Linked DNA regions of Macaca mulatta. Each later gene encodes a partner of the first gene's protein in a complex. Links are inferred from orthologs where the notes say so. Each region holds a gene or a part of one and is shown on either strand. Other genes may lie near its edges.

Evidence for each region. The genes of interacting proteins can lie anywhere in the genome.
Region 2: the proteins of GLB1 (region 1) and CTSA are in contact, whole or in part, in a cryo-EM structure (PDB 7KDV), measured with the Mus musculus proteins. The link is inferred for Macaca mulatta from reciprocal best matches to the Homo sapiens genes GLB1 and CTSA. Residues at the interface, in NP_033882.1 of Mus musculus: Tyr198, Asp199, Arg202, His206, Leu229, Thr233, Leu234, Gln235, Asp236, Leu237, Lys258, Phe259, Glu260; in NP_001033581.1 of Mus musculus: Glu29, Asp31, Ala37, Lys38, Gln39, Pro40, Ser41, Phe42, Arg43, Tyr107.

Annotation. Positions count from the first base shown.
Region 1 is NC_133407.1:15,448,000-15,452,883, reverse strand, and holds part of GLB1 (beta-galactosidase), read right to left. Parts: intron 3,180-4,884; coding exon 3,029-3,179; intron 2,501-3,028; coding exon 2,440-2,500; intron 1-2,439.
Region 2 is NC_133415.1:98,687,508-98,691,362, reverse strand, and holds part of CTSA (lysosomal protective protein precursor), read right to left. Parts: intron 3,228-3,855; coding exon 3,143-3,227; intron 2,567-3,142; coding exon 2,475-2,566; intron 2,397-2,474; coding exon 2,318-2,396; intron 2,277-2,317; exon of another isoform or gene 2,273-2,276; intron 2,226-2,272; coding exon 2,086-2,225; intron 291-2,085; coding exon 215-290; intron 1-214. UniProt on the Homo sapiens protein: Protective protein appears to be essential for both the activity of beta-galactosidase and neuraminidase, it associates with these enzymes and exerts a protective function necessary for their stability and activity.

The DNA of each region.
Region 1 (4,884 bases):
TAGTGTTAGTGTATTTTATGTGTGGCCCAAGACAATTCTTCTTCCAGTGTAGACCAGGGAAGCCAAAAGATTGAACACCCCTGGTTTAACACCATCACACACCTTTTAGTACAAAGAGACCCCAATGCAGCCAGTGCAGCTTTATTACACCAGGGCTGGCAGCAGAGATCAGGATATACGGGACTCAACAAGTACCTTCTGAAATAAAAGTCTCATAAAAGTCGTCCTGCATGTAGTTGTCTCCTCAGCTGAGCTCCTCAGGGGACAAGGACCAGCGTGCCTGTATCTGTCTGCTACGGCTGGAATGTTTGTCCCCTCCGAAACTCACGCTGAAACAGAATCCCCAGTGCGGGAGCACTGAGAGGTGGGGCCTTTAAGAGGCGTTGGGTCTTGAGGGCTCAGCCCTCATAAGCAGATCGATCCACTCGTGGATTAATAGATTCATAGGTTAGTGGATTCATGGGTCATCATGGGAACGGGACTCGTGGCTTTATAAGAAGAGGCAGAGAGATCTGAGCTAGGACACTCAGTCCCCTCACCATGTGATGCCCTGTGCCCCCTCAGGACTCTGCAGAGTCCCCACCAGCAAGAAGGCCCTCACCAGATACAGCCCTTCCACTTTGAACTTCTCGGCCTCCATAACTGTAGGAAATAAATGCTTTTCTTTATAAATTACTCAGCTTCAGGTATTCTGTTACAAGCAACAGAAAATGGACTAAGACACCATCCTTGCCATAGGACGGACACAAAGCCTGGAGCATAGAACATATCCAAGCAACGTTTGCTGAATGAAGAAAAGAGTCACTGAACAGTGTGTCCTCTTCTCAGTCACAGGAAGATTTTTTTCTGTATAAAATGAAGTTCTAACAAATTATATAGTTATATTGTCAAATAGGAATAATAAAAGTACATGCCACATAAAGTTGGCATAAGGATTAAAGGAGTTACTACATATGAAAACACCAATAATATGCTAAGTGTGCAAAACATGAAGGTCCTGGAGCAAGACAAAGAAAAAAACCATCATTTACACATTGCTCTGTAGAAGTAGACAAAAATAGAAGGCATTGCAGCTACCAAGCAATCCAATGACACCATCCCAGAAACTGTCATTTTGTTTTTATTTCTTTTTTTTTTTTTGAGACAGAGTTTCATTCTTGTTGCCCAGGCTGGAGTGCAATGGCGCAATCTGGGATCACTGCAACCTCCGCCTCCCAGGTTCAAGCAATTCTCCTGCCTCAGCCTCTCAAGTAGCTGGGATTATAGGCATGCACCACCACACCTGGCTAATTTTTGTATTTTTAGTAGAGACAGGGTTTCTTCACGTTGGTCAGGCTGGTCTCGAACTCCCGACCTCAGGTGATCTGCCTGCCTCGGCCTCTCAAAATGTTGGGATTACAGGTTTGAGCCACTGTGCCCGGCCTTATTTCTTTCTTTGAGACAAAGTCCCTCTCTGTTGCCCAGGCTAGAGTGCAGTGGTGCAATCATGGCTCACTGCAGCCTCAACCTCCCAGGCTCAGGCAATCCTCCCACCTCAGCCTGCCGGACTACAGGCACATGCCAGCACACCTGGCTAATTTTAAAATTTTCTTAGAGATGGGGTCTCACTATGTAACCTAGGCTCGTCTCAAACTCCTGGGCTCAAGCGATCCCTCCTCCTTGGCCTCCCAAAGTCCTGGGATTACAGGTGTGAGCCACCATGCCTGGCTTGTCATTTTGATTAGCTAGGTGCTATCATTGGTTGTGGAATATGCTAAGTAAATAGGAAGAGAAAGCATTGAAGTCAGCTGGTCAACCGCAAACAGGGCTCAATGCCAATTCAAAGAATTACCAGTTTATCAGTAAGATCTGGTTAAGTAGTTCAGAGCCTAATTTCCTAGAGGTTTAGTTTGGTGCTATGCACTGGACGGTGATAAACACTCAGACTTTCAGTAAACTTTCAAAAGTATTTGTGCAGAGGTACCCCAAACTTCAAAATACCTCCCCCTTTCGATAAAAATTGTTGAAGCTTTTTTTGTTTGTTTGTTTGTTTTGAGACGTAGTCTCGCTCTGTCATCCAGGCTATAGTGCATTAGCACGATCTCGGCTCACTGCAACATCTGCCTCTGGGGTTCTAGCAATCCTCCTGCCTCAGCCTCCTGAGTAGCTGGGATTCCAGGCGCCCACGACCACGCCCAGCTAATTTTCTGTATTTTTAGTAGAGGCGAGGTTTTGCCATATTGGCTAGGCTGGTCTCGAACTCCTGACCTCAGGTAATCCACCCGCCTCAGCCTCCCAAAGTGCTAGGATTACAGGTGTGAGCCACCGCACCTAGCCAGAAGCTGTTTTTCTTTTTTTTTTAATTTAATTTTATTATTATTATAATTTAAGTTCTAGGGTACATGTGCACAACGGCCTGAAGCTTTTATAAATCTTCTCAAGACATCTGTAACAACTTACCTGGGTCGGAAGAGCGGAGAAGAATAGCCTCTTTCTCTAGCAGCCAAGCAGGTAATCCTCCCTAGGTCAGGAAAAATAAGCCATTATAATGTCCATTCTGTGAAGGGAGCTCAGAGGAGACAGAAATTACTATTAGCAGTTATGGAAAAGAATAAAAGCTTCAAGGGACAAGAGGTATTTGAGCTGGGCTTTTTGGTTTATAACTTGCAGGGAAATTAGACATTGGAATGTAGTACAATTAAGATCACTCTGCATGAATGCAATGTTTTGAGGACCAAAGCCTTTTCCATAAAGATTGTTCAATTTAGTTTCACAACTACCTGCGAGGTAGACAGAGAAGACACCATTAACTGCTTCTTACAGACGAGCAACCTGAGTTATATGAGTGACCACCAAGAGGAGAGCCCATGCCCTGACCCCGGCCTGCTTCTCTCTGCCTGGGTACCTTGCCAAGGTAAAAGACACCTGTGTTGGGTACAGTCCCAGGCCCCATGCTCTCTGGAATGCAGGTCTGCCTTAATGCCCTTTGCCCCAGGGCTGCTGCCTGCCAACTCACACACCAGGCAGAACCCAGTCTAGCCACACTCACCATTTCCCACTCCGCACAGATGTAGGGTCCGGGCCTCAGGATAACCAGCAGTCCCAGCTCGTGAGCCAGCCGAAGAAAATATTCCACATCATGGTCCTCAGAAAACTGGTACTGTCCTGGCCAGGGCTCATGAAAGTTCCAGGGCACATACCTGCCAAGATACACACAGCCCCTTCCTGGATACTTGGCAGAGTCAAGAAGAAGGAAGAGTGGGGAAGGGGCCTCATTATGACTATTGCTAACACAAGGATAAGAGGGAGAAGGTGCTTTGGAAGAAAAATGATCCAAGGCTGGCACGTGGCTCAGGCCTCTAATCCCAGCACTTTGGGAAGCCACGGTGGGCAGAGCCCAGGAGTTTGACACTAGCCTGGGCAACGTGGTGAAACCCTATCTCTACAAAAAAAATTAGCCAGGGTGCATGCCTATGGTCCCAGTTACCCTGGAGGCTTGAGGTGGAGGTTTGCTTAAGCTCGGGAGGTTGAAGCTGCAGTGAGCTGTGATTGTGCCACTGCACTCCAGACTAGATGACAGAGACCCTGTGTCAAAACAAATAAAGAAAAGAAAAGAAAAATTATCCAGAATTTGGATATAAGGCAAAACAGTGACTGCATTTCCTTTCCATGTTATAATGGAGGACTGTCCAATGGGCCCACTGAGGCTTCTTTCATTCTCCAAGGGAAATATTTTGTTTGACTTACTATTTACTATTGATTAAGGGAAGAACTTTGAAGTTACAGATTAATTTGTAGATTATTGCCTGGGAGAGAAACAAATGATGATTGTCATACAGAGAAGACAACTCCAAAGGTAACTCTTTCATTCATTGCCCTTTATGATATTAACCAGTTTTATCTCTAAAGATAACTTTATTTGAACATGCCTTTCTTGACTGGCTGTAAACCTCCCTTCCTCAAATTCTCCTTTGAATTGGCTTCACCATATAGCTAGTTTCCTCGGTAACAAGTTAAATAAATTTTTCAAAACTTTTATTTTAGGTTCAGGGGTACATGTGCAGGTTTGTTATACAGGTAAATTGCATGTCATGGGGGTTTGGTGTACAGATTATTTAGTCACCCAGGTAATATGCCTAGTACACGATAGGGGTATTCACCCTCCTCCCACCCTCCACCCTCAAGGCCCCGTTGTCTGTTGTTCCCTTCTTTGTGTCCATATGTACTCGAAGTTTAGCTACCACTTATAAGTGAGAACATGCAGTATTTGGTTTTCCATCCCTGTGTTTGCTCAGGATAATAGCCTCTAGCTGCATCCAGGTTGCTGCAAAGGACATCATCTCATTCTTTTTTGTGATTTTGTAGTATTCCATGGTATATATGTACCACATTTTCTTTATCCAGTTAAATACATTTCTGATATATGTCCGTTATATATTTGTTTGTAAGTCATGTTTTAAGCTTTTTATAATTATATTTTGCATAAATAATTGAATTGAGGTGCTCTGTGGAAGGGGAAAGAGCTCAAAAATCCAGATCTCCTACATAAATGTCTAAACTGTTTGTAGAACCATAAACCACAGGACACACAGACTTTCCCATTTGGCAGCCTCTTGGGAGGGGCCTTGTTATGAATTTTTACAGCAGCTCCCCAAGCTAATCAAACTTGGTGGGGACACTTCTTAAAAGCAACAACAACAACAGAAAATTCCAGAATTATATCAGCACTAATTCCTATTACATAACAATTATAGCTGGGCACAGTAGCTCACTTCTGTAATCCCCGCACTCTGGGAGGCCAAAGCAGTAGGATCGCTTGAGGCCCGGAGATGAAGACCACCATGGGAAACATAGTGTAACTTCATCTCTAAAAACAAAACAAAACAAAAAAATTAGCTGGTGTGG
Region 2 (3,855 bases), on another chromosome or scaffold:
GATCCAGACCACTTGGCCTCCTATAGCAGTGCAGCATGGGTGGGGACAAACCCAGGTTCAAATTCTGACCCCACCAGTCACAGTACCCTGGGCTTCACCTTTTGGAGTTTCAGCTTCCCTTGTCCTGACAGGAAGTCTAAAGGGTCCCCAGCTTGCTGTGCTACTCTGGGGTCCTAAGGCTGCTGGTGGATCCAGCTGTGCTGTCCCCACTCACCTGTGAACTAAGCAGCTTCAGATACTGGGAGTTCATGCTTCGGTAGAGACGGCGGTACTGTAAGTTTACCAGAAAGCTGCCGGGAACATACGCGCAGGCCCCAGGAAGACCAGGTAGGGGCGAAAAGTAGTCAACAGATCAGACCTTATCTCCTATCTCCAAGCTCCAACCCAGAAAGCAGACAGCTGGGTTCCACTCCTCTTTTTGGGGGGCCACCTCTCTAGGACTGACCTGGATGATGGGCTGGGATTCAGAGAGCCTCAACTCATCCCCATTTAGAAATGTACAGGGATGCCAGGTGCGGTGGCTCACACCTGTAATCCCAGCACTTTGGGAGACCGAGGTGAGTGGATCACGAGGCCAGGAGTTCGAGACCAGCCTGACCAACATGGTGAAAACCCATCTCTACTAAAAAAAATACAAAAATTAGCCAGGCATGGTGGTGCATGCCTGTAATCCCAGCTACTCAGAAGGCTAAGGCAGGGAGGCGGGAGGCAGAGGTTGCAGTGAGCAAGATTGCACCACTGCACTCCAGCCTGGGCAACAGAGTAAGTTACTCCATCTCAAAAAACAAAACAAAACAAAACAAAACAAAAAACACCTACAGGGACACGTTTTGGTTGTTACAGGGACTGGGATGCATCTGGCATTTAGTGTCTAGGGGCCAGCAGGTGTGAGAGTCACAACATATAACAAGGTAGAGTGTGAGCACTGACCAATCAAAATGGACCTGAGCAGCCCCAGATGGGCCCAGTGTCACCCTTTTACTTGCGGTGGTGGGGGGCTCACAGGAGATTGGACATGGAAGTAATAGTTTGTTGTTGTTGTTTGAGATGGAGTTTCACTCTTGTTGCCCAGGCTGGAGTGCAGTAGCATGATCTTGGCTCACTGCGACCTCCACCTCCCGGGTTCAAGTGATTCTCCTCCTTCAGCCCCCTGAATAGCTAGGATTACAGGCACCCACCACCACACCTGACTAATTGTGTATTTTTAGTAGAGATGGGGTTTTACCATGTTGGCCAGGCTGGTCTCGAACTCCTAACCTCAGGTGATCCGCCCACCTCAGCCTCCCAGAGTGCTGGGATAACAGGCATGAGCCACTGCGCCAGGTCAGAAGTAATAGTTATTAACCAATGTGGTGGCTGGGTGGGTAATCTCAGCACTTTGGGAGGCCAAGGAGGGAGGATTGCTTGAGACCAAGAGTTCAAGACCAACCTGGACGACATAGTGAGACCCTGTCTCTACAAAAAATTTTTTAAAAACAGCCCAGAATGGTGACATGTGCCTGTAGACCCAGCTACTCAGGAGACTAAGGTCGGAGAATCGCTTGAGCTAGGAGGTTGAGGCTGTAGTGAACTGTGAAACAACAACCAATGTGGCTACGTAATGAATTGGGGCTGGGCGGGGTGGCTCAAGCCTGTAATGCCAGTACTTTGGGAGGCTGAGGTGGGTGGATCACTTGAGCCCCAGAGTCGAAACCAGCCTGGGCAATATGGTAAAACACCATCTCTACAAAAAAATACAAACATAAGCCGGGGGTGGTGGTGTGCGTCTGTAGTCCCAGCTACGGGGGAGGTGGGAGGATTGCTTGAGCCCACGAGTTCGAGGCTGCAGTGAGCTGTGATCACGCCACTGCACTCCAGCCTAGGTGACAGAGTGAGTGAGACCTTGTCTCAAACAAAAACATTTAACATTTAAAAAAGAAAAAAGAATTGGCTGTCAATCCACTGAGGGGTCAGGGATGGATGTTAAACATCCTGTACAGCTCATCTCATCAAGAAACCCTACACAGAAGATCCCTAGGAACCTGCTGGTGCCCACAAGCCCCAGCAACCCACCACCCCCAGTCACAGGTGGCCACAGAGCCTCACTTGCACATGTCCCATTGCGGCAGCTGTTCCGGGATGTGGAGGGCCTTCCGCACGTACGGGTTGTTGAGGTAGGTGGAAGCAGCTGTCGTGTTGGTGCAGGGGGGGTCCATGCGCACTTTGTCCCCTGAGCGCAGCAATGCCTGGAGGGCACACACAGAGGGTCAGGGCCTCTGCTTCCCTGCCCCTGCCCCCGTCCCCACCTCACCAGGAGGAAGCCCACGCCCTTGCACACCTGATGCCACGTCCGCTTGAGTGGCAGGCGAGTGAAGATGTTGCCCAAATCCTGGACCACAACAGTGTCCTTCTCATACCTGCATGTGAGGTGGGGGGATGGGTGGAGCCTCCAGATGGGGCTGGGGTTGGCCCCAGGGGCACCCAGCAGCACCTACCTAAAATGGCTGGGCACCCCTCCAGCACAAGGGGCATAGAGGTTGTAGATGTTGAGGCCAGAGTTGCCCACGATGCGGGCCACTTCCTGAAGCTGCAATGATACACCGAGCCACCATGCTTTACAGATCCCTAGCCTCTCCACAACCCCACCAAGTTGTCCCAAGATTTATTGCTCTTGAATTTCACCTCTTCACCCACTTTTTTTTCACAGGTAGGGAAACTGAGGCTCAGTGGCAGGAATCTTCCCAGCCCTAGGTCCAAATCCTAGCATCACTGCCTCCCAACACTGACTTCAGACAGTGATTTCAAAATTCATGGCCCTCAGGTTTCCTTATCTGGAAAATGTGGGTAGTACGATCTCATTTGAGGAGGAATCTTGAAGCTTAAGTAATCTACATAGACACAGTTCAGCACAGTGCCCGCCACACTGCAGGTGTTTGATAAATGTGAAGAAGTCCTTTCTCCCTCACACAGGTTATGGGATTTGCCGCCATAGGAGGTGGTGGTGGGAATACACACTTAGACACATGTCCCAGAGAACACTATTGCTTAAAGGTGCAAGAAGGCAATGAGGGATGGAGAACAAGGAGTCCCCAAGGAGGGAATGTGGTCCCATTCTTGGGATTAGGGATGGGAGGGCTGATGCAGAGTGACGGCAGAACCTCACATTGGTCACGCATTCCGGGTCTTTGTTGTCATAGAAGTTACACTTGTTTTGAGAGCAGCAGTGGGTCTGGAGAGAAGACCAAAGCCTGTAGGAGATGAGAGTGAAAAGTGCATCAGCCTCTGGTGGGAAGAGGAGGGCAGAGGAGGCGAGCATACCCCCACCTCCCACCAACCTCCCTGACCCTAGGAGACTAGGAAAGGTATCACAGGGTATGGTCTGCACGTCACCTAAGCTAGCTCCCAAAGAGGTGCCCCAGGGTCATACAGACAGGCCTCCTTAGTTCCTTTAAAATCTGATCTCTGGCTGGGCGCCGTGGCTCACGCCTGTAATCCCAGCACTTTGGGAAGCCAAGGCGGGCAGATCATTTGAGGCCAGGAGTTCGCGTCTAGCCTGGCCAACAGCAAAATGCCATCTGTACTAAAAATACAAAAAAATTAAGCAGGTGTGGTGGTACGTGCCTGTAGTCCCAGCTGCTTGGGATGCTGAGGCACAAGAATTGCTTGAACCTGGGAGGTGGAGGTTACAGTGAGCTAAGATCGCGCCACTGCACTCTAGCCTGGATGACAAAGTGAGACTCTGTCTCAAAAAAAAAAAAAAGAAAAAAAAGAAAAATCTGATCTCTATTCTTTGGCCTTTCAGCACTGTGTTCTTTCTGCAACCCACCTGCTGCTCATAAACCTGGGCTGGGCCTGTCATATCATGTGCCTGGAGGA